Linked DNA regions of Rattus norvegicus. The protein of the gene in region 5 interacts with the protein of the main gene of each other region in a biochemical or structural test. Links are inferred from orthologs where the notes say so. Each region holds a gene or a part of one and is shown on either strand. Other genes may lie near its edges. The genes, in order: Mapk1, Acvrl1, Smurf2, Stub1 and Smad1.

The links.
Region 1: of the proteins of Smad1 (region 5) and Mapk1, one has a biochemical effect on the other in vitro, tested with the Homo sapiens proteins (3 studies listed by BioGRID). The link is inferred for Rattus norvegicus from reciprocal best matches to the Homo sapiens genes SMAD1 and MAPK1.
Region 2: of the proteins of Smad1 (region 5) and Acvrl1, one has a biochemical effect on the other in vitro, tested with the Homo sapiens proteins (2 studies listed by BioGRID). The link is inferred for Rattus norvegicus from reciprocal best matches to the Homo sapiens genes SMAD1 and ACVRL1.
Region 3: the proteins of Smad1 (region 5) and Smurf2 form a complex in vitro, tested with the Homo sapiens proteins (2 studies listed by BioGRID and IntAct, with this or other methods). The link is inferred for Rattus norvegicus from reciprocal best matches to the Homo sapiens genes SMAD1 and SMURF2.
Region 4: the proteins of Smad1 (region 5) and Stub1 form a complex in vitro, tested with the Homo sapiens proteins (3 studies listed by BioGRID, with this or other methods). The link is inferred for Rattus norvegicus from reciprocal best matches to the Homo sapiens genes SMAD1 and STUB1.

Annotation. Positions count from the first base shown.
Region 1 is NC_086029.1:97,524,161-97,530,020, forward strand, and holds the start of Mapk1 (mitogen-activated protein kinase 1), read right to left. Parts: upstream 3,666-5,860; 5' UTR 3,452-3,665; coding exon 3,339-3,451; intron 1-3,338. UniProt on the Homo sapiens protein: Serine/threonine kinase which acts as an essential component of the MAP kinase signal transduction pathway. MAPK1/ERK2 and MAPK3/ERK1 are the 2 MAPKs which play an important role in the MAPK/ERK cascade.
Region 2 is NC_086025.1:134,126,321-134,131,528, reverse strand, and holds part of Acvrl1 (serine/threonine-protein kinase receptor R3 precursor), read right to left. Parts: intron 4,525-5,208; coding exon 4,378-4,524; intron 4,171-4,377; coding exon 3,895-4,170; intron 3,756-3,894; coding exon 3,558-3,755; intron 623-3,557; coding exon 492-622; intron 1-491. UniProt on the Homo sapiens protein: Type I receptor for TGF-beta family ligands BMP9/GDF2 and BMP10 and important regulator of normal blood vessel development. On ligand binding, forms a receptor complex consisting of two type II and two type I transmembrane serine/threonine kinases.
Region 3 is NC_086028.1:92,358,288-92,364,055, reverse strand, and holds the start of Smurf2 (E3 ubiquitin-protein ligase SMURF2), read left to right. Parts: upstream 1-2,275; 5' UTR 2,276-2,377; coding exon 2,378-2,429; intron 2,430-5,768. UniProt on the Homo sapiens protein: E3 ubiquitin-protein ligase which accepts ubiquitin from an E2 ubiquitin-conjugating enzyme in the form of a thioester and then directly transfers the ubiquitin to targeted substrates.
Region 4 is NC_086028.1:15,354,113-15,359,914, forward strand, and holds Stub1 (E3 ubiquitin-protein ligase CHIP), read right to left. Parts: upstream 3,448-5,802; 5' UTR 3,345-3,447; coding exon 3,183-3,344; intron 2,762-3,182; coding exon 2,563-2,761; intron 2,480-2,562; coding exon 2,314-2,479; intron 2,281-2,313; exon of another isoform or gene 2,149-2,280; coding exon 2,061-2,148; exon of another isoform or gene 1,878-2,060; coding exon 1,821-1,877; exon of another isoform or gene 1,735-1,820; coding exon 1,618-1,734; exon of another isoform or gene 1,540-1,617; coding exon 1,414-1,539; 3' UTR 1,166-1,413; downstream 1-1,165. Other genes in the region: Jmjd8 (jmjC domain-containing protein 8), read left to right, coding at 24-72, 150-243, 326-394, 483-602, 681-748, 828-962, 1,041-1,121; Rhbdl1 (rhomboid-related protein 1), read right to left, coding at 5,250-5,521, 5,602-5,662, 5,743-5,802. UniProt on the Homo sapiens protein: E3 ubiquitin-protein ligase which targets misfolded chaperone substrates towards proteasomal degradation.
Region 5 is NC_086037.1:45,458,155-45,463,362, reverse strand, and holds part of Smad1 (mothers against decapentaplegic homolog 1), read right to left. Parts: intron 4,513-5,208; coding exon 4,255-4,512; intron 1,633-4,254; coding exon 1,507-1,632; coding exon of another isoform or gene 1,462-1,506; intron 1-1,461. UniProt on the Homo sapiens protein: Transcriptional modulator that plays a role in various cellular processes, including embryonic development, cell differentiation, and tissue homeostasis.

The DNA.
Region 1 (5,860 bases), on a different chromosome or scaffold from region 5:
GAACCCAAGCCATCTGCAAGAACAAATGCTATTAATGCTGAGCAACCTCTCCAGCCTGTTACACTTCACAAACTGACACAGCCATCTCTGTTTCTCCATGGTAAACCTGCTTTGCCTTCAGGACCCCCTCTCTTGGATTATGGCACCAGTCCTACACTTCTCATTTTAGCTCAGCAATCTTTAAACCTAAACCCATCTTTCTTGGCTCCCCACCTTATAACTACCTTGTCTTCATTAAATCTCTTATGACTTTCCACAAGACCTCTTATGACTGATTCTGTCTGCTCAAGAGTCCTCCTCTCCAATGACACTTAATTACTGTACCTTGAGATGGCAACAATGGCCTAATTGCTGTATCACCACCAAAATTAAATTTGCCTACAACTCTCAAAAACATCACTGCTTTCTTTCCCACCGCCTTTTCTTACGGAGTCCTCTACGGTGTTTTACCTAAATACTTTTCTAAGGTTAGACTCATCAGCTCAAGCTGTTACTTGTTCCTATTATCTGCCTATCAAAATCACACCCACTCTTAAATGCCCAACTCAAAACCCAGTCTTCTTCTAAAAACATTTTATTTTTAATTATGTGCATTCATATACATACATATGTGTGCACACAGAAGAACCCATAAGAGGTCAGAGACATCAAGACTACTTGAAGTTACAAGCTGTTAGGAACTGAATTCTGGTTGTAGCTCTTAACTGCTACACCTCCCACACCCACATTTTATCTTTTTGTCTTCTACATAATGATTATGAAGGGAGCTTGAACAAATAGGCACAATTCTCCACGACCTGCTTTACGGAAATCCTGCTAAGAACGGCTGAAAATCCCTTAAGTAATTTTTTTTTTTTTTTTGGTCTTTTTTTCGGAGCTGGGGACCGAACCCAGGGCCTTGTGCTTCCTAGGCAAGCGCTCTACCACTGAGCTAAATCCCCAACCCCCAAGTAATTTTTTTAAAGAGTTATTCTTAAATCAGTTTCCAGGGTGTGTACCCTAGTGAGTCTTCGTTGGACCACATGTGTGTAGATGCCCTTGGAAGGAGGGGTGCAGTAGGTGGTGGGTGGTAGTGTCACGTAACACAGATGCAGGGATCTGAGCTTAGGTCCTGCAAAAGCAGCAGGTACTCAACCACTATGCCGTCTTTCCAGCTTTTTTTTTTTTTTCTTTTTTTCGGAGCTGGGGACCGAACCCAGGGCCACTGAGCTAAATCCCCAACCCCGTCTTTCCAGCTTTTAAAGATCACTATTCAAGTGGATACTTAAGCTGAGAAGCTGCCATAAACTCAGCAATAATCAGATGATAATGACACACAATTAAGAATATTAAATAAATACTAAGATACATTATCTGGAGATAAGAGGCTGATGCTTGGATTTAAATTTCAATTATATTTGTATTTTTCTTAAAATTAAAATTTGTAGGTGCCAGCCTCATCTACAAATTGAGTTCCAGGATAGCCAGGGTGATTACACAGAGAAACCTTGTCTTAAAAAATTAATTAGTTTTATTTATTTTATGCATATGAATGTCTTGCTTAAATGCATGACTTAAGAGAACATCTCATCTTCTGGAACTATAATTACAGACTAGGCTGTCATTGGAATCGAACCCAGAGCAGCCAGTGCTCTTAACTGCTGAGTCATCTCTCCACCCCTAAAATGTGAATTTTAAAAAGAATTCTGCACAGCAAGCGGAAACTTCAAAGGTCAATAGCAACAGGATCTAAACAATCCATCTTATTAAGGTGGTCCTAAATTTTTTTGTCTCTATTTAAAGTAAGCTTTTTTATTCTTTTTTTTTTTTTAAATAAATGAGACTATGGTGGGTAATCATTTGAGTGTCAATAATAAGAGTTACTGGCATACTTACCAGCAAGTGCAAGGGCAGTAATACATGCAAGACAGATGTGATGTGGAAAGTAATTTTTCCCCATTCCTTTACAAAGACTTTCTTGTAACCGTGACCTAAATTTAATTTCCCCTTTGACTCGCAGGTCCAGTTCACTTTTACCTTCATAATTGTATACTATGAAACATTTTGCTCATAAGAATATAACTATTCTCCGGTCCTTTAAAAAGGAAAGTTAATTATTCTACCTAGTTAACACACTTGGTGAAAACACATCTTTCTTGGCATTTCTAAAATTATGACCATTCAAATTTGAATGCATTTCTGAAATAGACTTGTTCATCAGGAAAATATGCTGAAGTTCTGAAATTATTAATAAATCAAGGAAAGGCGTGTGCAATCATAGCTGAGGAGCTGAAGCATTTAAACCAGGATCTTTCTATATATAGAAAGCATGATTCTAGTTCTTCACCCTTGGGAAAAAGACTTCCTTTCAATACCTTATCTGAAAAAGGGTGTCTTCTCTTTCTTCAAGATGGCTATCCAAGTAAAATTAACTACCTCAGAAACCTTCGATAAATGAACTTGCTTTAATTAAAACAATACACTTCATTCCACAAGCAGAAAGTACTGTAAGTGGTTGTGTATATATAGTGAACACTAAAACGTTAGGGAAACGACCACAGTAAATAGGGCTAATACCTATGGATACATTCACATGTACTTTTGAGGGTAACGACGGGGTAATTTAAAGTCAAATTTGGAGTTAGGCCTAACTCCAAATACATCTTAATAATTCTAAGAGTGATGCTGGTTTATCCTTCCTGAAACACAATCGGTATGATATTTAAATCCATTTTGAAACTTCAAGATTTCAGTATATCCACAACCAACGCTGTGTCATTGTTTTTTAGAAAGCCTGAGGTAGAACGCATCATTAGCTCTACTGAAGATATTTTGTGAATGCTGTTCACGTACACAGAGAGAATAAAAATATTTTGGTGCTCAGCACACAAGCCCATTATTCCGTCTTGCAAAACCATTGCCGCCGCCACCACCACGGACATGCATCTAATGGAATTCCTAGTTTTAATCTAATGTCAAAAGGCGGCGGCTATAACGCTATGAACTAGGGGACATGGTGCACTTCCGTTCCCGACCCAAGGGAGAAGCCTCGAAAGTACGCGCTCGAGACCAAGCCCGGGAGTCTTCGAGTCCTGGCCTCGGTCTGAGATGCCCTTCCAACAGCAAACGAAGGGTCAGCTCAGGAAGCAGCAGAGCAACACTTAAACCTCGAAAGGGCCCCCGGGACCCCGCCCCAGGGCCCCAGGAGTGCGGGCCAAGGAGAAGCCACGGGTCCGGGGGCGCCGCGGACCGCGAGGCCAAGGCGCGGGAAAGGCCGCAGCTGCGTCCAGATCAGCCATAGGCAGGGGGCACAGGATGACCGCGTGAGGCCGGGCCTGCAAACCAGCGCAGACACTTACCAAACCATGCCGTAGGCGCCTTCTCCGATGTACGAGAGATTAGTGTAGCGCGGCCCCACGTCGAACACCTGCCCGCGGACCATCTCCGGGCCCGCCGCCGCCGCCGCCGCCATGTTGGCTGCACAGCCTCCGCCGCGTTGGGCTCGACGCTTCGCGGTTACCGCTCGACTTGTGCTGCGCTTCCCACAGGAACCGCGCCGCCGCCCGTGTAGCAGCCGCTGGCGGCGATCGGGAACGAGGAGGGAGGACAACACAGAAGAGAGAACTAACCGCCGGTAGAACCACTGCCTGCCTTCCTGCCTGACGGGCGGGCGGGCAGCGAGTGGGAGGAGGGAAGGACTCGCGTCGAGGGGCGCTAGGGCGGAGTCAAGGGCGTGCGTGATGATTGGCTTCTCCCCTCAGAGAGGGCGGAGTCTCGCGGGCCGGCGGAAGCAGCGAAGTAAGCCAGGAGCACTGCGGCTGCGGGGGAGGGACGTCACGTGCGTTCAGAAAGCTAAGGGCTGGGTAGCTCTAGAAAGCTAGATTGGAACTTAGGCATAATGACCCCACAGAGTCCCACCACTGTACCTGGTCCAGAACGAACTCGCGCGGGACCAGGGACTTGAGACCAGAGGACTCACTGCACACCAGCCACGGGACCCCTGAGACAGACAGGCCTCTAGGAATACGTGGCCCACATTCTGCACTCTTATGCACTTAGACCGTCAGAGTGGGACAGAAACCAAAAAGATGACCCAGACCCAGAAAAATATTTTCACCCTGTAATGAGAATAATAAATAAAAAAGATGCCTTTTGGACATATAAAAACAGATTAGTCAGGAACCCTACAGTACCTAAGGCTGCTCCTGATACCCAGAGCCCAGTGACATGGAGATGACATAGTCCTAGAATCCCATGATGCCTACTGGACAAAATATAAGCAGAGACCAAAAGCAATGCTTTGCTCTACGTATCTGGAGAGATGCACCTTGATCTGTTCTGTGGCTAGAGAATCTCCCTCAGAATCCTGACCCTCAAATCAGAGACTTCTGTTAGAGATTAGACCTGACCTGAAGCTAAGATAGGTCACACAGGTGAACAGCCTTGGGAAGACAGGCTTAGGAATGTAAGGAGTTTAGAGTGTAAACCTTGCATGATGACCTTCAGCATAATAAAATATAACTTTTCTTATACTAACTACGTATATCTACCTTCTTACTGGTGACGCACACCTAACAGTGTGAGACATAAATAAGTAGAAACCAAAACACAAGACATTGAATCCCCTAATTAGAGGTTTCTTCAAGAAAATTTGCTTAATACCTATAGCATTGGAGCCAGCCATGTTTCCAGAGTGAAAAGACAGGCAAAATACAATATTTGCACTTAAGTGTTGTGAAGAAATAAAAAGCCAAGGGAAAATATAAAGAGCTGTGGGTGGGGACGCTGGAGAAAGACAGTGAAATTCCGGGACTTGGATTCAGGTGCTGTGTAACACTTTCCTGAAGGATTGAAACATTCTATCCGGAGGGGTAACTCCTTAAACAATAAGGTAAAAAACTGAAAGGAGCAAGTCAGTGTGGTGCCTCACATGTACCACTTGTGAGGCAGAGTGGGGCAGATCTCTTAAGAATGGGAGGCCAGCCTGGTCTACAGAATGAGTTCCAGGATAGCCAAGAGTCTCAAAAAAAAAAAAAAAAAAACCAAAAAACAAAAAAAGCAAAAAACAAACAAACAAAAACAAAAACAAAACAAAAAAAAACAATCAAAAAACTCAACGGAGTTTAAGAAGTCCTTGAAACTGACCAGATTCACTAGGCCCCTCTCACCAGAGTAAGCAATAAAAGCTGAGAGTCCCTCTGAAATGGAGCTCAGGTGAGCTGCAAAGACTCTTGAGACCAGCTACCCGGAGGAGGCAAAGCTCTACCAATTGCCAGGTAGTGGTTTAGACAACTATGCACTTGGAAGGACACTCTTCCACTTTGGCAGCACCCACACTTTGCTCTGTTGTGAGCTCCTTTTTGTAGTGAGGAGACGTGTGTAATGTCTCCCCAGGAAAAGTTTTGTCCCACAACGCCTGCTTGGTACAGATGGGCATACTGAAACACAGCACAGTTAGAATGGCTGAAAAAGATGAACAAAATTTAGGGGAAAAAAAACGATCACAAACACCACTAAACTGAGGAATGAAATTGGAATGTCAAAGTTGGTGGTGCCCAGAAAAGCAGAGATAAGGAGATAGTGAGTGGCTACTACAGTCTCTCGGGTACTTTTCTGCCATCCCTGGAAGCAAACTCTTGTGTGGCCAACACTGAGGTCTAACTTAGGGATATCAAGTCTGGTCTTCTAGACATCAATAAAGATTAACTAGGCAATCTCAAAGATAAAAAAGTAAATCTTTGGGGGTTGGGGATTTAGCTCAGTGGTAGAGCGCTTGCCTAGCAAGCACAAGGCCCTGGGTTCAGTCCCCAGCTCTGGAAAAAAAAAAAGTAAATCTTTAATAATAAAGAGAAGAACTGGGGTATCCCTCAGTGGTGAAGTG
Region 2 (5,208 bases), on a different chromosome or scaffold from region 5:
ATTCTTGCAAGTGAGGTAAAAAGGTTATAAAATCAGATTGACTGAAAGGTCCGAGAAGGACGAAGGTTCCGCAAGCCAGGTGTGTAGGGGGGAATACCCAGAACAACCCACAATCTATCCAAGAATCAGAGGTTGTAGAGCCAAGATCCTGAACTCAGAAATTCAGCTGAGAATCAATCTCCACCCATGCCAACCCAGCCCCAGCCCAGCCAGCCCAGCCCCAGCCCCAGCCCCGCCCAGCCCCAGCCCCAGCCCCAACCCCAGCCCAGCTCAGCCCCAGCCCAGCCCCAGCCCCAGCCCCAGCCCCAGCCCCCAGCTCCGGCCCAGCCCAGCTCAGCCCAGCCCAGTCCAGCCCAGGCCAGCCCCAGCCCAGCCCAGCCCCAGAACAGCCCAGCCCTAGCCCAGCCCCAGCCCCAGCCCCAGCCCCAGAACAGCCCAGCCCAGCCCCAGCCCCAGCCCCAGCCCAGCCCTGGTCCAAGCAGAGGTCTCACCGGATCTGCTGCCAGTCGGTTAGGGATGGTGGGGGTCTGCTGGTCAACACACACCACCTTTTTCATGTCCTCAAAACTGGGGTCATTGGGTACCATGTCATAGAAGGGTGGCCTGTAGTCCTCCACAATGCCTGGGGATTCAAGGGATGTGGGACAATCACTTGGAACCCAGAGCACCCACAGGATGACCATGCTTGGGGCTAACTGCCTGATTATATTTCTCCTGAGAGCGATCCCGTCCTACAATATAGTAACTGTGCATATAGCTCAGAACTACTGCCTGTGTTCCAAGATTTCCCATTCGTCCTCCTGGTGGTATCTCTGTGTGGTACCACCCGAGTCACAGATGGAGAAGCCTAGAGTCAGAAGCACCGGATTCGTGTTGCCTAGCCAGTCACGGCACAGTCAGGACTTGAAACCCGTTTTTTGGCTTCCTAAGCTGGATCTTATTTTCATCTTGCTCAGCTTCCATTCTGCGCCTGGGTTCCACTGCCTGAGTGATGCCCGATTACCCTAACAGCTGGTGTTCCGGAGCACTTCCGGTGTGTCCCAGAGCACTTCCGGTGGGCCAGAAGGGGTCCTTAGTGCTCTACCCGCAAGCCTCACAGTGGCCTATGGGGACTGTAGCATTGAACCAAAAACAGTAGGTCCAAATGTTCAGAAATTTTGTCTTTAAGGATCAACAGGTAGCAAGCGACAGAACTGGGACCTAAGGCGGAAATCCAACACCAAATTCCTCGATTCCGCTCTCTCAGCAACATTTATGGTAGGGCTGGATGAGGCTCGTACGTAATAAGGGCAACAAAGAGCAGAAAAACACCTCTCCGAGAAGCAAAAGATTTACTCCCTGGTCCAAATAAGATGTGCTTACTGTCAGGGAAGGTTCACGTCTCTGCAGACCCCATCACCAACGGTGTCCCCACCCCATGTCTAGTTATCCCGAGCCATTTCTGAAAGGTGTGCCTGTGGGGTCAGAGGCAGCCCCATGTCTCTTCCTCCTTCCCAACTCCAGGCCGCTTCTGTGATCATGAAGACCAGAACCTCAATGAAGCCTTCAGCAGCTGTTCTCCCCGTGGCGGGCTTCCAGGCTGCCCCTGTGCCGCCGGCGCCCTAATCAGCGATTTGCAGAGGCCTGAGCGTGTCTAATGAGCCTTTAATCAGTGCCGGGGCTGACACCAGATTACAGTGTTTATAATGCGCTAGGAGTCTGTGTGAGGCTGACAGAGCTTCCCCTCCACCCCAGGAGCCTAAGGCAAATCCATCAGCTCCTCCTTTCCTGCGTAGCTAGGCCTACTTCTTTGGTTTCATCCAGGTACCCTTTCCCCAACTCCAGCCACTTAGAGCTGACTCCAGCAGTAAATGCCCCGGGATCAGAACCCCTGGGAGACTCTCTGGTGACAACTGGGTCTCTGCTGTCACAGATGACCACCAAGGAGGAGTGACGTTGTAAAAGGCTGGCTCCTAGCCAGTAGATGCTCAGGAAATGAAAACATCTCTGGTCCCAAGGGGCAGGGCTCTAGTAGTATGCCCGGGATTGTCTGCAAACTTTCAGGACTCCCAGCATCCTTGGCCATAGACAGGCCCCACAAACGCTAACATTGCAGCAGTTAGCTGTCCAGTCAACCTGTGGTCCTCCATCTACCCCAGGGTTAAAAGGCCATTAGCCACAGGCCAGCACAGGGCTGCACAGGGCTACACAAGGCTACACAGGGCTGTACAGGCCAGCATAGGCCAGCACAGGCCAGCACAGGGTTGCACAGGCCAGCAAAGGGCTGCATAGGGCTGCATAGGGCTGCACAGGCCAGCACAGGCTAGCACAGGGCTATGTAGGGCTGCACAGTGCTGCATAGGGCTGCACAGGTCAGCACAGGACAACACAGGCCAGCACAGGGCTGCATAAGGCTGCACAGGCCAGCGCAGGCCAACACAGGCCAGCACAGGCGAGCACAGGCGAGCACAGGCCAGCACAGGGCTGCACAGGCAGGTGCTTCTACAGTCTTTTCAAGTTATGGTCTCCTGTGGCAATCCACTGTGATAATGAGGCTGCAGTAGGCAAGCAGCACAGAAGCCAGATAGCTTACACATGAATGAAGAAACCAAGACCAACATTTAACTACCACAATAACAGACAGCACTGGCCCAGAATCAGATGGCCTGACTTAAGATAGCCAGCCACAATCATGCATCTCTGTCTTTTCTTTTAGGAAGTGGAATAATAATATGTAAGTGCTCTTTCATTATGACCACTAATATTTAGCTCTAGGCACGGTTTGCCTTTCTTCTCTGTGTAGTCCTGGCCGATCTGAAACTCAAGGCTGGCCTTGAACTTGTAGCAATTCTTCTGCCTATGAGTACTGAGAATACACCAGCTTGTAGATATTGTTCTAAATACTTAATTTGGATCATGTCTGCAACAACACTTTTTTTTTCCTCCTAATTTCACAAATGAGGAAGGAGGCACACCAGGGCTAAGTACTCCCTGTCAGGACAAAACCTGAAACTGAGTCCAGGCAATCTGACTGGCCAAATGCCAACTCTTACCAAAATAAGAGACTTCAACAAGTTAGAGTATACATTGTGACACATATTTAAGCTCCACAAATGCTAGCTAGCTTAGCTGCTTCCCTGCCCCGCCCCTATGCTCAGGATCAAAACCTATGGCATTGAACATGCTGGGCAAGCATTCTACCACTATATTTCCAGCTTTGAATATTTTTTTTTTGTCTCTAACTCAAGATTTCAAGGCCACATCCACACCCTCCCAGGTTCAGATGAGCCTTAAAGTCCATCTGTGCTGAACTAGGCGATTCATAGCAGTAAAAGAAAACTAGGAGCTCTAACCTCAAACCATCAGGTCAAGGGCAGAAAAGACCAGCCACCACAGAAAACCAGGTCTCCATATATTTACACACATACGCGCATCCGTGTACACACACACACACACACACACACACACACACACACTTATGCATGCATGCATGCATAGACACATACACATATGCACACACACACAGATACACACATGCATGCGCGCACACACACAACCTGCATACGGTGGGCTCTCACCATTGATGATGGTCCGCCGGGCAATCTCCCATAGCACTAAGCCGAAGGCCCAGATGTCTGTCCACTTGTACGACTCAAAACAGTCTGTGCGGATCTGCTCATCCAGCACCTCGGGTGCCATGTATCTCTTGGTACCCACTCGGGGGTTGTTACCAATGTCCAGGTAATCGCTGCTTTGCGAGTGCATCACAGCCAATCCTGCGGGTGTTTGGCGTGTCAGTCCTGCAGGGCTCCCACACAGGGTGACCACTCCAATTCTCTCCCGAACAAAAACAGGCAGAGCCAAGCATGCAAGCCCCGCCCTCAGGTGAAGCCCCACCCCCTCTCTCCTGCTCACCCAGGTCTGCAATGCAACACTGCAAGTTGCTCTTGACCAGCACGTTGCGGCTCTTGAGGTCACGATGGGCGATGGCTGGTTTGCCTTGAGTGCCAAAGATCTCTACATGCAGGTGCGCCAGGCCGCAGGCCGCGGACACAGCCAGCCTCAGGGCCAACTGGGGCTCCAGCGTCTGCCTCTGCAGAAAGTCATAGAGGGAGCCATGCTCGTGGTAGTGGGTGATAAGCCACAGCTGCGTGCTGGAGTTCCGCGAGGTCATGTCGGAGGCGATGAAGCCTGTAAACAGAAGGGTGTGACCAAAGTACCCAGAAGGAAGGAGTGGTGAGAAGGTAGAGCTGCTGAGGCACAGAAGGGGTGGGGCAGAGACCGAAGGCTGAAGCTGGTCTGGGAGTTACATCAATGCCCAGTTCGGTGTATTCCAGCCCTGAGTTGAGGGAGTTGGGGTGCCTTGGCCTGGGAGAGCAGACATGTCCCCTAGCTTGCCTAGGATGTTGTCGTGTCTAAGCAGAACTGTGTTGTAGATCTCTGTCTCCCGGAACCAGGACTGCTCATCTCGTGAGGAGAAAATCTTGACCGCCACACTCTCGCCATGCCACGAACCGCGCCACACCTCGCCATATCGGCCCTTTCCTAATCCGTGGCCAAGGGAAGAATAAGGACCACGCACTAGACACACATAGTCCTTAAAAACCCCCACCCCAATTCCGGATGCTATGAAGATAGATCCCCTCTGCAAAAATCCGATTTTATTTATTTTTAACTTTTTTTTTTTTTTAAGTATAAGGTCTCATTTGTCTTGCTGATTTGGAACTTGCGATGTAGACCAGGCTGGCCTTGGACTCACAGAGATCTGCCTGCCTCTGCCTCCCTAGTGCTGGTATTAAAGGCATGTGCCAAAAACCCCAGCTGCCTTCTAGATCACAATATTTTTCATTTATTTATTTATTTATTTATTTATTTATTTATTTATTTATTCGTGTGTGTGTGTGTGTGTGTGATACACACTAAATGGGATCACATGTGGAGGTCAGAGGACAATCTGAGGAAGATGGTTCTCTCCTCTCGACGAGTACGTCGCAGGGATTGGATTTGGGCCATCAGTCTTGGTTCTAGTGCCTTCCCCTGCTAAGCCCTATGGCTCTCCTCAAACCTGAAAATATACCTTTATTAACATCTTGTCCCAGCTTTGGGCTACTCTTAGCTTATCAGTTCATCCCTGTCCTTGCAAAAATGACCTGACCTTGGCCCAGAACCAACCCTACCTAGCAGAGTATCTTACTCTGGCCCAGGCTGGATCCAGGCTGGATCCTGGAA
Region 3 (5,768 bases), on a different chromosome or scaffold from region 5:
TTCTATGAGGGTGTTCCCCCACCCACCCTATTTTGAGCTTTTGAAGACTTCTTTGTGTGTGTGAGTGTTTTTTGCCGAATGTGTCATGTCACAAGCATGCTTGGTCCTGTGGAAATTAGAAAAGGGCATCAGATCCCCTGGAACTGGAGTGCTAGGTGGTTATGAGCTACCATGTGGGTGCTGGGAACTGGACCCAGATCATCTGCAGGAGCAACAGATGCTCTTAACCACCAAACCATCTCTCTGGCCCATACTGCATGGTTTTAAAGCACACTTAGGGAAGTCTAAACAAAGCTGTCTGAACATTATTCCTATACCCATTTCCCTGAGCTGCCTGCCACACATTCGTAGGTGTTGCTTAAAATTCTCCACCCCCTCCATCCCCTGCTAGGTTTCCCACCATTTTCTGAAATCTTAACTTCCATTTCTCAGTACAAAGCTACAAATTATGCTGGTGGGTGGTTGGGAACAAAGTGTGGGCCATAACCACCAGGGAAATATGAATGCATACATCAGCTTGCTCCGTTTATTGTCACAAGCCTGCGTTTGAAATAGTGATGTAGCAATTGTTCTATCGCCACAGTAACTTTTGTGGGAATGGTTTCCTGAGCCTTCAGATCTTACACAGCACAAAGAAGTGTTTCTTAAGGGCCCTGTTCATTGCTTTGTGAATAATGAGCACTTACAATTTCTTGATTGAATTTCTAGAGCTGTCCCTTGTATTTTAAGTCTTACCGCTAGAACTTATGATTTGGGGATCACTTTAATCCGTAGGAGTGTACTTAGACTGATGAAATGCTTTTGGGTTTCATCTGGAGAATGAAGTGTCTTAACCGATAGATTGTAAGCAACCATTTACATTGTTTTGGATTAAAATGTATTAGACTTCAACGAACAGTCTAAACGGCATTAATGTTATAACAGCCTTAAGCAAAGTCAACGTGGATACAAATCCACACTTTATCCTTAGTTTTCATTACTACTTATGTGCACATAGAACTTGTATTCTCCATTTAAACCCTGCATTACATATAAAATCTTCCATGTAACGTGGTCACCACAATTGCCATTTAGATAGCTGCATAAAAATGTCTTGCTGCTGATGTAATACAATTCATTATTGGGCTATACTCTCATCCCAGCCTTGTAAAACAAAACCCCCAAACACCTGTATTATTTATTTGTCCAGAATAAGTTCCTATTACTGTAAGTTACCGCATCAGAGTTACAGTCCTGTTCATTTTGTCTTTTTTTTTTTTTCCTCCTGGGATAGCAAGATACAGTACTGCCTGAGCTTTAAACACAGTATCCACCTATCTATCTTGTTCACAGTCCTTGGCGGTATTTGTATCATCTCCCTATGCCTGTCCTGCTAGGGAAAAAAAAAAAAGAGTCCGAGCAGGTAAGTAACCGGATCTGGAGTACCAGGTGAGTCCGTGGAGGTGGCAATTACAATACTAAGAGCTAAGCACTCCTGGGAATTTGCTGGAACGTTCGATGTGGGAATAGCGTCTTGTCGAATTAATTCTTCGGACTCGGGTCTAACTTTACTTTACTCTCGCCAGCCTCTTAGGGCGCGCAGTGGGAGTATTACTCGGGCATTCTGCCCTGTAGGGACACAGGCTGTCTTTCAGTGAGCTAGCTGGTCAGCAGGCCCCTCTGGTGCCACGGAGCCGGCGCCGCCGGGCGGTGGAGTTCAGAGATGGGTCTGGGCCGGGACACACGCGCTCCCTGCGTCCCGCGCGGAGTCCGGCCTTCCTCCGGCGCCCTAGGCGCAGGAGACCTCGCCCACAACCCCGCCCCCGAGACGGCCCTGCCCACCACAAACCCCGCCCTGCAACAGGCCCCGCCCCCGTCTCCTCCCCGCCCCCAGGAGCCGACGAGTGGCGGCGGCGGCGGCGGCGGCGGCGGCGGCAGCGGCCCCAGGACCGGGTTCCCTCAGACAAGAGGGCGGGCGGAGGAGGAAGCGGCCGAGCACCCGCCCGCCTCAGCAGACTTCGCACCATCGGCTCCCAGGCCTCGCGGCACCGAGAAGGGGAGACCGAGGCGGGCCGCGAGGACAGGAGGCGGCGGGGGCGCGAGGCGGAGGCGGCGCGGCCGGCCGCGGCTGCCGCTTTGTTGTGCGGCCCGGGCCGAGGAAGCAGAAGTGGGAGGAGGGGGGAGCTCTGCGTCCCGCTCCCTCCGCGGCTCATGGCGACGGCGCTCGGCACATCCGGGACCCTCCGGCCCTGGCGGCCGCGGCGCGGGCTGTTCGGACCCCGGCCCCGGCCGCTGTGGTGACTCCTCCGCGCCTCGCCGTCGTCCCAGCCCAGCCCAGCCCGCCCGCCCGCGGGCCGCGAGCGCCGCCGCCGCCGCCGCCTCCCCCGCCGCTGGGGACATGTCTAACCCCGGAGGCCGGAGGAACGGGCCCGTCAAGCTGCGCCTGACAGGTGAGCAGGGCGGGCGGCTGCGGCGCCTGTGGGCAGGCGGAGGGCCGGGGTCGCGGTCGGTGGTGGCGTTGGACGGGAATCCGGGCGTGGGAAGGCCTAGTTCAGGGAGTCATTGGAGAACCACTTAGCTGGGGTTGGGAAATTCTTCAGAACGCCAAGTGTGTGGCCCGTGGGTCTCCCGTGGAGGGCGGATTTGAGGTCCGGACATCTAGTTTCTTGGGGTCACAGGAGCAGCCCCTGGGCTATTGCCCAGGTGGGGTCGTGAAGGGGATTACTGAATCCAGTTGCTGACTGCGCGCAGTAAACACTCCTTAAATATGGAGTTGAGTGCTTAACGGGAGAGTGCGTGTGTTCCCGGGTTGTTAACTTGGACACCTACCTATGCCCGGGTGTGAAACCTTTACTCTCTAGCTGCCAACCTCTGCGGCCAGTGCCACACACCTTAAAACGCACGTCTCTGGGAGGGACTGAGACTGTGGTTGGCTTTTCCGGCGTGTCTGCCTGATCCCACGACTCCCGGCTCATTGTACACTCTGTGTTTTGGAAGTTGTTTGATTGTAGGGTAGCGTGTTTGGGGTTGTTCCTTGTAGGCCGCAGAACTAGTGGCTCACGTCTGAACTCCAGACATGGTTTAGAATCGCTTGCTTGGAAATGTGTTTCTAAGTCTTGGACTCCTACATAAACTTTTAAGCGAACTTTTACTGGTTCTCTTCCACACTTCGCGCCCCTTTCTAAATGGAAAGGAATGCTCAGAGGGATTTGTTAAAGACTGTTTATGTTCCCAGGTGCAGCAAGTTGTTAACGTATTACAGGTATAATTTGCTTATGATGCCACTTCTGATATTCTTCCGTGGTCGCATCTCCCTCCTTTTAAGGAAAATTGCGTTTGGTTTAAAGAGTGTAAGTGAAACTATTGTCCCTCTGCTAGCTAGACGCATCGTTCACAGTAAGTAAATTGTCCGCATTTATATTCAGATGTGTGGTGAAAAAGACGTCATTTTGCAGTTAGTTGGTTCATATGTGTGTGCACCAGCGAAGGATAAGCTGTAATTATGCTTGCCCACACTAAACTTTGAAATTTATGTGGACGAATGTTGTAGTTGAATGCCTGTGTTAAATGCCAGTCCGTTGGCTGTACCTTTTAGGTAACTTGAAGTGAATTTGGTATTTGAGAATTTAGTTTGAATGTATGTTGGCTACAGCTTCAAATACTTTCCCTTTGAGGCTGAAGAGATGGCTCAGTGGTTAAGTGTATCCTGTTCTCTAAGGGGACCGGAGTTCTACTCCCAGCACCCCCCACCCAGGTCCTTGGCTCACTACCACCTGTAACTCTAGCTGCAGGGGATCTGATGCATCTGGCCTCCCACAAGCACCTGCACTTGTGTACACATACTGCCCCAATCTCCAGTAATGAAAAAATATATACATTGCACTGACCTGAAAGCGTTTCTTTCCCTAGGGAAATCACAAGGTATTATTAACACTAGGTTGGGGGGCGTGCTTTGATCTTCATCTTTACTGTTCTTTTGGGGGAGTCAGTGGAACACAATTATAAAGGATCTTTGGTGCTCTAGTTTATATATTGATATTCTTACTAGGCAGGTCTGTGCCAATTACAGAAAGAAATTGTGAGTGTAGGTGTGCAAAAGCCATCGGAAATGGGCTGTAATTTTCTTCTGGGATACATACATGGGAGAGAAAAAGAGAGGTTTGGGTTTTCTTTAGATAAAAATGAGTTCTGAGGTGGGCTGGAGAGATTGCATAATAGTTAAGAGTACTGCCTGTTCTTCCAAAGGTTTAATTCCCAGCACCCACATTCCAGGTCACAACTGTCTGTAACTCCAGTTCCAGGGGATCTGACACACTCATACCCAATGCATATAGAATTCAAATGAATTATTAAAAATGAGTTCTGAGGTTTTGTTACATTTATGTTCTCTCTCTCTCTCTCTCTCTCTCTCTCTCTCTCTGTGTGTGTGTGTGTGTGTGTGTGTGTGTGTGTGTCTGTGTCTCTGTCTGTGTGTGTCTGTCTCATGGCCATGGAGTACATGTGGTGGACAGGATAAGGTGGGATCACCCTTTTCACCTTGTGAGTCTTACCAGTCAGACTTAGGTCATCAGGCTTGAGAGAAAATACCTTAACCCTCAGTGTTCTGAGGGGTAGTGTGACTGAGCAGCTCTTATATTTATGTCATTTTTTTTCTGTATATGATAGTTTAAAAAGATTTATGAGTGGCATTTGTTAGGTGAACATGATAACCACTGCACTAAAGAAACTTCCCTTGAGTGAAGTTTGAGAGGAAAAAGATCACACTTAGTTTCTGAGCAAGAGGATACATTCGACTAAATTTATAGAGTGATTTTGTACACTTAGCTTTTTCTGAAGAATTTTAAATATCTGTCCTCTCCTCTTAATTGTAAAAACAGTTTGAACTACTCTCAATTTTTTAAAGCTATTGGGAATTTTCCTGTGAATAGTTTTCGCAAAGTCTGACAAATATTAAAACCATTGTTGTCTCTTTGATTACATATGGTGGAATCTCCTGTTTTGCAAGGAACATTAACTCACATTTTTTCATTTTTGTTCATCATTTACGAATTAAATAGTATAAATTTTAACAAATAGATCTTAAGAGCTGGATTCAATTAGCAGCTTTTTAGGACACAAACATAAAAGGGTTAGATGGAAAAGATTGTTTTGACTGACTGGATAAATGACAGGGCTGTGTTTGATGTGCGTCCAGGACTTGGTCTGGAGCTGGTGCCCAACTTCTCAGTCCATCTTGAGAAGCCAAATAAAATATTTAACCTAGGACTCTTTTTGTTTAAAAAAAAAAGTTGATTCTTTGTTAAGACTTTAAGAAATGTTTGGCATACCTTTAGATTAAGTGTTTAACAGTTCATTTAAATCTGGATTCCCTAATAGAGGAAAAAACTTAGTTTAAAAAAAAAAATCCACAGTGAACTTCTATTTGGTTTATAATACACTTGAGCTATAAGTTGTTTTAAGATGACTTTTTTATTCTAAGTTAAAGCCATTTAAAAGTTTACATTTGTGGAAATACCTTTGATTCCACGGTACTTTATGAGCTGCAGTTAATTACATCCTTAATGGAGAGTCGTCCACTGCTGAAAGGTGTTAACAGATCTTTCATAGCCACCACCCTCCACCCCCATGAGACTCTGCCCACTGTGGATATTTTCCACAGACTATTACTAAAATCCACCCATTAGTAAATTGTGATATTGTTGAAGAAGGTGAGATGAAGTTATTATCAAGTTGAGATTCCTTAAGCCATTGGTGAGTATATGGTCTGTCCTATCAAGTTACTTCTCTTA
Region 4 (5,802 bases), on a different chromosome or scaffold from region 5:
ACATGCTCCCCTTTTCCCCCCAGCTATGCCTTCCTCAAGCCCGTCATCTTGCAAGGACTCACAGACAACTCGGTGAGTACTCGTGCGCATGTGGGCAACTGGTCCCGTTTGGCCAGTTGTTCATTTATCTTATCCTCCATCCCCAGAAGTTCAGAGCCCTGTGTTCCCGGGAAAACCTGCTGGCCTCGTTTGGGGACAATGTTGTTCGCTTGAGTACAGCCAACACCTACTCCTACCAGAAAGGTGAGCTACACACCCCTCAAGGTCTGCCTTTACATCCCAAAGGCAGGACTGATCAGTCCCGCCTGGCTCCCCCTTCTTGTAGTGGACCTGCCTTTCCAGGAATATGTGGAGCAGCTGCTGCACCCCCAGGACCCCGAATCTCTAGGCAATGGTGAGCCAGACCCAGGCAGCAGTGGGAGTGGGACACTTTGGAGCCCACTGTTGCCAGTACCCCTGCCTGTCATCTTCTCTGCTGGCAGACACCCTGTACTTTTTCGGAGATAACAACTTTACTGAGTGGGCCCCACTCTTCCAACATTACCGTCCACCTCCATTTCGTCTACTGGGAACCACCCCTGCTTATAGCTTTGGAATTGCAGGTAGGTGCTCCTTTCAAACAGATTTGGGGGAAGCCCGTATATATTTTGTTCATCAGCTATTCACAACTGACCCCACAGGAGCTGGATCTGGGGTACCCTTCCACTGGCATGGGCCTGGTTTCTCAGAGGTTATCTATGGTCGGAAGGTCAGTGCAAGGGTGGGGCATGAATTTGGTGTTTGTAGTCCATAGCACATGAGAGTGACCTTAACATTCCTGCCTCCAGCGCTGGTTCCTCTACCCTCCTGAGAAGACACCTGAGTTCCACCCTAACAAGACCACGTTGGCCTGGCTCCTGGAAATATACCCATCTCTAGCCCCATCAGCTCGGCCTCTAGAATGTACCATCCAGGCTGGTGAAGTCAGTAGCTGGTAGGTGGGGGTTGGGCTAACCCAAAAACTAGGGAATCAGACTATTTTTCCGTGCCCCTTCTCCCAGGCGCTGTACTTTCCTGATCGGTGGTGGCATGCCACACTCAATCTGGACACCAGTGTCTTCATATCCACTTTCCTTGGCTAGCCAACAAGCGACTGGCAAGCCCACTGCACCAGCACATGCCAATGTAGTGCTCACAGACTTTATTACAGGACAGTGGCAGCAGCAGCAGCAACCCACCCTCACCAGCTCTCCAGCCCAGAAGGGAGACAAGGGAGGCTCATGGCCCAGCAAGGGATATGCTGAGAAGGGGAGCAGTTCAGAACCCATCATCAGGACCGATGGGGGCAGGCCCAGGGACACAAACTATATACAGGGACTGGAGCTTCTGCCTCCAGACCCTCCTGGGCCAGGGTGCCAGGCAGGACATGGGGTATCAGTAGTCCTCTACCCAGCCATTCTCAGAGATGAAAGCATCAATGACTTCCTTCATGGCTAAGTTGGGGATGAGCTGTTCCTGGGTCAGAGGGCTCCGGGTCACAGGATCGAAATGGCCCACGCGCTGCAACGACAGAGTCAAGAGTATTCAATGGCCTGAGTGTCCCCTGATCCCAGTCCCGAGACCACAGGCCCTCCTTACCTGCAGGTGCTCCTCAATGTCCTTGCGGTCATAGGTGATGCCACTGGGTGTAATGCAGGGTTCCCGCATCAGCTCAAAGCTGATCTTGCCACACAAGTAGTCAGGGATATCTCGCTTCTGCAGCACAAGAGGGAAATGTCTGCAACTGGAAAGGAAGTCACCATACCAGAGCCTGCCCATGAGCTTCAAGGCTCCGTCCTTACCTTTCTTTTCTCATCCACCTGAGAGAAGAGCTCATTCATGTCCGCCATGTATTTATCCTGCAGAGTTGAGCGCCATGTGTGGGCAACTCCTGTCTCCTCCACACAGACACACACACTCTGTCCACCGGGGCACTCATGTCATGCATGGGCCAACAGAGCCACCATAGGCTGGGGCACTTCTCATGCCACACACAAAAACACACACACAACGACCCACATGTGGACTAGGGGCACCCTCACGTGCTTGGCCTCAATGCAGGCCTGCTGGGCCCTGATGTGGCCATCATCCTCATCACCCTCGTGGTTCCGCTGACACTCTTCCAGTTCCCTGAGGGTCAAGAAAAAGCCAGCTGGTGATGGCCCCAACAGGGAAATGACAGATCCCTTCCCATCTCAGGCCTCTTTCCTCCCGGGCTTCCCATGTACCGGCTGCTGTCCTTTAATAAACACTTGCACTGTTGACTCGGTGTTAACTGTTGGGGGCGGGACCCACCTCTCTCGCTCAGCAGCAATGAGCCTGGTGAGATAGGAGTGCAGCTCACTCTCCTGGTGGATGCGCCGTTCCTCGATACTGTTCCAGCGCTTCTTCTTAGCAATGCGAAGGGCACTAGGAATATCATCCCCAAAGTTGAGTCGCTGCTCCTTGGCCAAACTATAGGCTGGGGGAGTGGACACTTTAGGTTACACTTGTCAACAATCCTGGCCCCAAAGGTGCCCACAATCTGGCATCTTGTCAGCCCACCTCGCTGCAGATTGGCAATGGCCTCATCATAACTCTCCATCTCTAGCTGGCACTGCCCCAGGAAGAAGTGCGCCTTCACAGACTGCCCATCCAGCTCCAGGGCTCTCCGGCAGTCAGCAAGTGCCTGTTCAGGCTGCTGCATCTTCAGATAGCACAGGGCCCGGTTGGTGTAGTACACTGCCACAAGTGGGTTCCGGGTCTGGGAACCAAGATCAGGTGACAAAGAATGTGGGCTCATCTGATCCCCTCTCTAATAGCAAGCTGAAAGCCAATGATCCGGACAATTCTCCAGCATTGGGGGCCCATGGGTGGAAGAGAGGAACTGGAGATTTCCGAGTTATCAGAGCTCTGGATTCTAGCCATGCTCTCTTGCCTCCAACTGTTTTTGAGAAAAATCCCAGAACCCCTCCACCAGCTTTAGGCTTGGGAGCCTCAAGGGGCAAGAATTTCTGGTGTCATCCTTAGCTTGCCTCAATCAAGCATCCCGCCCGCCAGTCCCCAGTCAATCTGCCCTGGATTCGGGAACAGCAATCCGGGTCTAGGCTGCCAGAAATCGTCCGGGAATCACAGAACTGGGAGGCACATCGGGCCCCGCCCCCGCCCCCGCCCCCCGCACTCACGATGGCGCGGCCGTAGCAGGCCGCCGCCTCCGGGTACTTGCGGCCCACGAAGAGCCGGTTTCCCTGCTCCTTGAGCTCTTGCGCACTCGGGCTCTTATCAGGGCTGCCGCCGCCACCAGTGCCCAGCCGCGCGCCGCCCTCCTTTTCCTCCTTGCCCTTCATGGCGCCGCGCGGCACGGCTTGGGCTCCGCGCCCGGCCACCTAGATCTCGCAGCCCGCGCAGCTATCAGCTCCGCCCGGTCGGCGATCCGCCACCGGAACTTCCGGTGTGGGGCGGGGCTGGCATGGGGACACGTGAGCAAAGGCGGAGCCTCGCGGATTGAGCGGGTTCGCTTAGCCCGGAGAAGCTACCGCTGCGCTCTCTACCGGCCCCGCCCTACAGTAACTAGGACCTACCCTCAATATTCAGACCAAGGCTCCGCCCATTGGCAGTCAAGCCCCACCCTCCGGCCCACGCCACGCGAACGTGGCAGCGGTCCGTGCTGGAGAAGTGGCGCTCCGAGGGCCGGTCACTAGGCCCAGGTCCTAGCGCGCCACCGGGGCGCACGCGGGCTCATGCGGCAGCCTGGGAACGTCTAGACCGCTGGTAGGACGGCGGAATTGAGGGAAGGAGAGAGGCCCGCAGGTCAGACCACCCTCGAGAGGCTTCCTCGGGAATCGGGAGAAGCTGCCTGCGGCCATTACTGGCTGAGAAACAAGCACGTGACGCGTTGACTCGAAAGGACCTGCTGCGGTTGCTATAGAGGTAGCTGCGGGTCCGCGGCTGGACGCTCCCCTTCTGCGGTCATGGGGCGGAGCTTCTTCAAGGGCGGTGCCAGCAGGTTTCCGTGGAGAGAGCCTGCACCAAGACCCTTTGACCCCAGGTCTGTAGATGAGGCATTTTTAGCCGCTGCTGCATCAGCTGTTGGCCGCTAACATCCCCCACCCGGGACTTGGAGAAGCAAAACTCGGCTTTCTGCCGATCTGTGCGCCGCAGTCAAACTTCGCTGCGTGGTTTCTGCCACTGCCTCGAGTGAGTAGGGAGCATCTTTGCACAAGTTGGGTGGGGGCTCTAGGAACTCAAAAAAAAAATGTCCCCAGAACCTCCTTGTCACTCTTTGCAGTGGCTACAGTTCCTGGCTTGCTAACGCTGCAGCATACACTCAAGTACTACTTGCTGTTTCTAGCCCAGGTGCAAGAGCTCACTGCATTTCTGAGCAGGGGCCTGAGGGGTCACCCAGGACCCCATCATGGTTCCGATGGTTAGTAACTCGACCCCAGAACTCTTGTAGATCTCTAGTGCCTTAGAGCTGTCTGTAGACGCTTCATCTTGTGAAGAGAGCACTGCAAACTTGGACTATGGGCAGATGTATGCCCAGACCTGCTGCCTGAACTTCACCCCAACTGGTTCTCCCATAAGGACTATAGACCTGCCAAGAATTACAGGACCCAGGCCAAGTGAACCTGGCTCTGTCTCGGGCTTGCCTTTGGAAGGGAGGCTGCAAGAACCGGGATTGGAAGCTCTTGGAGCACAATAAACGACTGCTGAACTTGGACTGACCCGGAAGTCCACAGTCTCTTCCCAGGGGCCCCACCTCCTGTGGATTCCGTCCCTGGCCAGGAGTGAAGCCACCACCTCATGCAGGTGCAGAGCTTCAGGGGAGAGAGAGGAAGCACAGACCCTGGAGGGGGGGCGTCTCATACAGCCTGGGTGAGGGGGCAGACAAGCCTGCAGAGCCCCAGGACAGCTACCTGGTGCTGTGTAAAATATTTATTCATTCTCCAAAAAGGCTCAGACTGCAAGTCCTGGGAGGGGTCGGTGGGGAGGGAAGGGAGCTCCTCTAGGGCCACATTCAAGGTCCTCCACCCAGCCCTGGCCTAGCAGCACCCCTCCCCCTGGAAAGGCCTGGGAGGGGCAGCAAGGGCTGCAGTAAGACTTGGCTTCAGCTGGGGGGATCACAGGGCCCCCCTGTCCCCCCGTGGGGAAAAGCAGCCAAGAGGTCCATTCCTAGAGGGCAGACATGCAGGCCCACCTGGTGGCTGACCCACTGAAGGCCTAGCTCAAGCCATACGGCCCTAAGGAGCAGGTCAAGGTGGAGGGGGGATATCGGCACCCAGCAGGTCATAGGCAAAGACGTTCCAGAAGATGGCGAAAAGCAGGAAGGTGCCATAGGCAAGTAGCACCACCCACCAGCCGCACTGGTCCCTCAGGCGCTCCTCATAGCTTCGAAGGATGGTAAGGCCCATGCTTACACCTACCACTGCACCAGCCAGGTGTGCCATGAAGCTAGGCTGTGGGCCTGAGGCAGGCAGTGGTGGGGAGAAGCGTAGCCACACAGCCCGGCCCACTTCGGAGCTCACTGCAGAGGGAGCAACAGGTGGGAGGGGCCCTGTCTGCAGGGAGAGGGCCTCCCAGCGCCCCACCTGCCCCGCTACTCACTGCACACCAGAGCCAGCACCATCCGCAGCAGCTTGTACGGACACCGCATCCCAGCCCAGTTCTGATGGGGGTCAGGCAGACAGGCTGTGAAGCACGTCCAGTGGACCCCTTCCCACCTCCCCAGAAAGGCAGTCCCATTACCATGACAACATTGGCCAGGTGTGCCGAGCACAGGGCATAGACCCCTCCAGAGCCCCCTAC
Region 5 (5,208 bases):
TCTGATCACATGTGAACCCAGCATGCTACTATCCTCGTGCTACCACAGGGACAGCATAATATTTAAGTCCTGAAAAAGCACCAGGAACTCGGATCCAGTCCAAGGCACCTCTCATTTCACTGAAATGGGCTTTAGAACAAAACAAGACACGTTCAAGCAGCCATACTGCTTCTAATTTCAACTTGCTTCATCCCCGGGTGGAATGCTTGCTGGAGGCTCCCTCAGAAGCTACTGAGCGGATGGGAGATCTCGCCAGGGCACATGGTACCTCTTGGCATGGGGTAATGTGCACTTGGTATACTGGGCTGAAATGAGCCTCGGGGTGAAGACCAGCTCCTCCCCTGAGGGAAGGTGAACGTCAGTTCAGCTGTAAATTCTTTGAGGGGGAAAAGAGTAAATTCTTTTTTTTTTTTGGTTTTTTTTTTTTTTTTCCGGAGCTGGGGACCGAACCCAGGGCCTTGCGCTTCCTAGGTAAGCGCTTTACCACTGAGCTAAATCCCCAGCCAAGAGTAAATTCTTATCCTTTAAATTAATTCTTCTGGTAACAAAGTTAGGCAGGAGGACAGAGAGAGGAAAAATGCACCATTACTTGTTACAACGATAAAGGCTCTAAAATAGACAAGGGGTGTGTGTGTGTGTGTGTGTGTGTGTGTGTGTGTGTGTGTGCGCATGCACACCTCTATGTAAGCATCTGTGTGTGCATGCGTGTGTGCCTGTCTATTCTAACACAAAGGGAACCGTCTGGAAACCCAGCTGTATGGATTTCCAGTGAGATCACCAGTGGGAAGTCCGCTCTGCACTACTGCGGATGGCCCATTCCTCTTGGCCCATTTAAAGACAATTCTTGCAGCACCGATCCCAAGTTACTAATTACTGAAGACCTGAATACACAGCCATCTAAATAAAAGACACAGGTAATGTAAAACAGGCCTCGGCTGCCCCATGTGCAAGAGCTCTCATATGCACACAGGTACATGAAACAGCTATACAAACCATGTGTCTATTGACACTAAACCATAGATAAATGTATATTTAAACAGTTCTTTGTTTATATTACTTAGCCATTTACAAAAAGTATAAGCAGATTAGCATGCTAATGAGATACGCCTGTTCGCCTTTTACGGAAACAATAAATCTCAGCTGACTGTTCAGCTCTGACGGATGTATGGCACATTCGGTTGCCTTCAGAGTTTGCCAACGGCTTGGTTTTCTAATCACCAAGGCTGAGACTTGGCCTCACTTAACTTCCTAGTACCAAATGGCAAACAGACGCTTAAGGCCGTTTCATAGGCTACTGAAAATTCATTCAATTCTGAGACTCCTTAGGAGACTGTGGCAGAGATTTTAGGCAAAGGGCTGGATTCTAGAGAATTCTTTCCTTCAGGTTTAGAACAACAGTTTTTTCTGTTTTCTAGACAGCTACTGTTTGAAGGTCTATATGACTGAAAGCAACACTTGGACCTGCAGACAACAAACTCTCACAGGGAGAGCGGCAGCTGACTTCACCTCCTCTATTGATCTCCGCGGGCAGTGTCGGTGCCGTCATGTTCGTCATGTTCGTGTCCATAGGCTGAGAGCCATCCTGGGCCATGGGGTCTTCAGGAGGCAGGTAAGCAGGCGGGGGTGTGTCGGCTACAACGGTTTAAAGAAAAAAAATACATTTCAGGCATAGATTCTCTTCTGTGTTGTCTCTGTGCACACTGTTCACGGGAATGCAGGTGCACGCCTACTGTATGTAGGCGGTCAGAGGATAACTTTGGGTTTAATTACTGTGGGGGAGAAGGAACAAGTGGGGGTCAGAGTGTAACTTGGGGAGCTAGGTCCAACATGTAGGTTTCAGGGACTCAGTGAAAGCCTTCACAATGGCAGCAAGTATATACCCCCTGAGCCATCGGGCAAGCGCTCACCTTCTGTGGGGCGGGGGTGGGGGAAGCAAGGACTCTCAGTGGCCTGGACTCTATAAGCAGGCTTGGCTGACCAGCCAGTGAGCCCCAGGGATCTGCTTGTCCCTGCCTCCCTGTGCTGAACCAGTCCCTTAACAAAAGGGCCTTCCACGGTGGTGTTTGACTGCAAGGATTGCAGTCGGGAAGCAAAGGCAGGATGATGGAGAAGTCAAGGCTAATCTCGGCAACAGTTTAGCATCTAAGCCTTTGCAGAGGGGTGAGGGGTAAGCCTAAAGACACTGGACTTAAGGTATAGTTTCAGAAAATGATCATATCCCCAAACTTTGTTTCCAGTGACAACAGACCCTTAAGTGGGCTCCAGGAGTCCCCGTACCTCTCTAGGACCACGTCACTTTAAACCCACTGAGAAGGACACGGGTGCAGCAGACTCTTGAGAGCCCTCAAATTTGGTTTCACTCCTGTAACCAAACTGCCTGACAAGACTTGGTAAGGAGAAACTTCTTTCCAGGTCTCTGACATTAAACCTCTGGGCAGGAATTTGCTATTCACTGAGTCTTGGTTTCCCATGACTTTAAGCAATCTCTTAGGCCTACCTTCACCATAACCATTTAAGCAATGACTAGCCTAAAAACCCCCAGTAACAGAATAATAGGAGATAAAACAGTTTAGCTCAGCTGTCTTCTGTTTTAGAATTTACATAGGTCTCCTTCTGAACAGTTTCTAACAAGTAATAAGATTACTGAAACCACATATATTAATGCAAGACTGCTATTTTCTTACTGGGAAATATAGGACTTAAAAACCAAATACAGCTCCTCGTTGGCCTGTCAGCCCACCCAGCATGTACGGCAGAGCCTTGAGAACAAAATTTTACCTTAGGGATCCATAAATGCTTGGGTAAATACTTAGGGGCAACAGGGCTCCCTGGCAGTTCCCACCACCCCTGACCCTGGCAGAGTCTTAACTCAGCTGCCAAAAAGCTGAGAGCCAGCCGGGCTCCAGAGACCTTTCCTGTGCGTCTCAGTGGGCCTCCCTGCACTCCAGCTTCTTGGTGCAGCTCTAAGGTAAAGTCTGCTTTGTCTGGAGTCAGGAGCAAAGCCAGGAGGCTGCTCAACAGAACCGGATGAATGTACCCCAACAGGCGGTGAAAATCTCAGCAGCGCCACCAGGGCTCAGGGCGGCAGGGTCTCACCAACAGTGTTCTACCACCTCCCCCAGGACATGCTCGAGCTTCGCTCCTCCAGCTTTTGCTTTAATCCCTGATGGCCAAGGACAGGAGTGAATCCTAGCAACAGTCTTTGCTTCTCTTTACTGGGGCTCGCCTGGGGTGGTCAAAAGTCCTCTGAAATGGACCGTCACCACCGGCCCATCCAGCAGGCCCAGCAGACTTGCCAGGGAATGGGTAGATAGGAAACCATCGAGTTATTACTTTGGTTATCAAAATAATCTCTTACACCTTCATCCCAAACAGACAGACATAATGCAAAATAAACAAGTTGAATTAAAATAAGAATAATTAAAGAAAAAAGAAGAAACAGCAATAAAGTGTGGACCACTTTTCAACATGGACATTGAATTAAAATTTAATCTAAAGCACTTTTAGTGGCTCCGTAAACACACCTGCCCGCCCAGTTATCGCCCTCACAGAAATACCCAGATCTCAAGATGATCTTTTGTTTATAGTAGCCTTCCTGCTGTTGACCGTCAAGGATTCTAGCACTAATATTTGAGATGCTTGTTTACTAACCTGCAACTTGAAAACTAGAACGTTCTAATTAATCACCCATTTTGAGAACTATCACAGCATCCGTTATGACTACAACAGGAAAATAACTGGCTTTGTCTCTGCTAAGTTAAACAAGCAGATGGTCTCCAGCACTCCTGATACAATTCCTTGTTGTTAAAAGTACATGCTTCTTGGGATCACATCACTGGTTAAATGAATCTAATTAAATGGGGGTTGTGACCCCTCAGAAAACAGCTCTTCCAGGGCTGCACTGACAGCAAGGGTTCTTCGATGTCAGAAGCACTCATTGGAGCTACTTCTCGGAACATCACTGTTTGTAACATGATGTTTTCCCCTTTCTCTCATGGAGAGCCGAGGCTGGAACAATTGTGCCACTCCCAGAAGGATGCAGCTGTTTCAAAACTTTTGAAAACAAGGGGAAAATGTAGCAGGAATCAAACAGGCCATCCCCTTGTCTGGCTGTGAGACTCCTCTCTCTACAACTGATGTTCTGAAGGACTCGCCGTTCACTGGGACTTGCTCTAGGGTTCAGACCTCTTCCTTACAGGTCACGCCCACCCACCTCCCCGAACACCCCATCCCCACTCTGTGAACCCCTCCTACCTGGCATCTGAAAAGGGCTGCCCGGGTCTGAGCTGGTCGGGGAGTGAGGGTAGGTGCTGCTGCTGCTGCCAGGAGAGTTGGGGTAGCTGCTGTTGGGGGACTGGGGAAACGGGTGGCTGTGTGGCTGCTGGAAGGAGTCGGGGAACGTGGCATTCAGTGGCATGTGGGGCTCATTTTGTCCCAGGTTTCGGAACTGAGCCAGAAGGCTGTGCTGAGGGTTGTACTCGCTGTGCCTCGGAACCAGCACCGGTGGGAGAACTGGAAAAAGGAAGAGAGAGAAAGAGAGAGAGAGAGAGATGAGAACGGTGAAAACCGGTAACAGCCTCACGGCAAGTGAGGGCAAATGACCAGAACACCAACTGTCAGCTCCACAGCTCTGACCAGAGGGGAAAGCACAGCCCAGATGGATCACAGGACTCCAGCCAGAGAGCAGCGCTCCTGGCCTGTTGACCCGAGGAAGCCTTGAAACACAGTTTCAGACTAAACCATGTTGCTGCATTTCACTTCAAATTTTCCCACTCACAAGAAACTCAAGCACAGTTAACAATGTGCATTGCCCCCTAGCCAGATGGCTTCAGGGGAAAGGAGCTTGTCACACAGCTGGGTGACCTGAGCTTGATCCCTGGAACTCATGTAAAGGGAGAAGGACAGAATAGATTCCACAAAGTTGGTCGGTGGCATGAGCACCACTTTCATACGCACGCACACACGCATAAAGCACTGTGGCATATACCCACGATCCCAGTACTCAGGAAGGAGGTTAAAGCAACAGGATGCCAGTCTGGGGTCCAGTCTGGGCTACCCTGTTTATGTATTTATATATCACCACTGATGTTCTTCCTGACAGTCTGCTGACATCTGAGTTATTGAATGATAAACAAATGTATTGAATCACATTACTTACCAATAAGTATTTTAATTGACATATTAGCTGCTTTTAAAATAAAAAGCAAC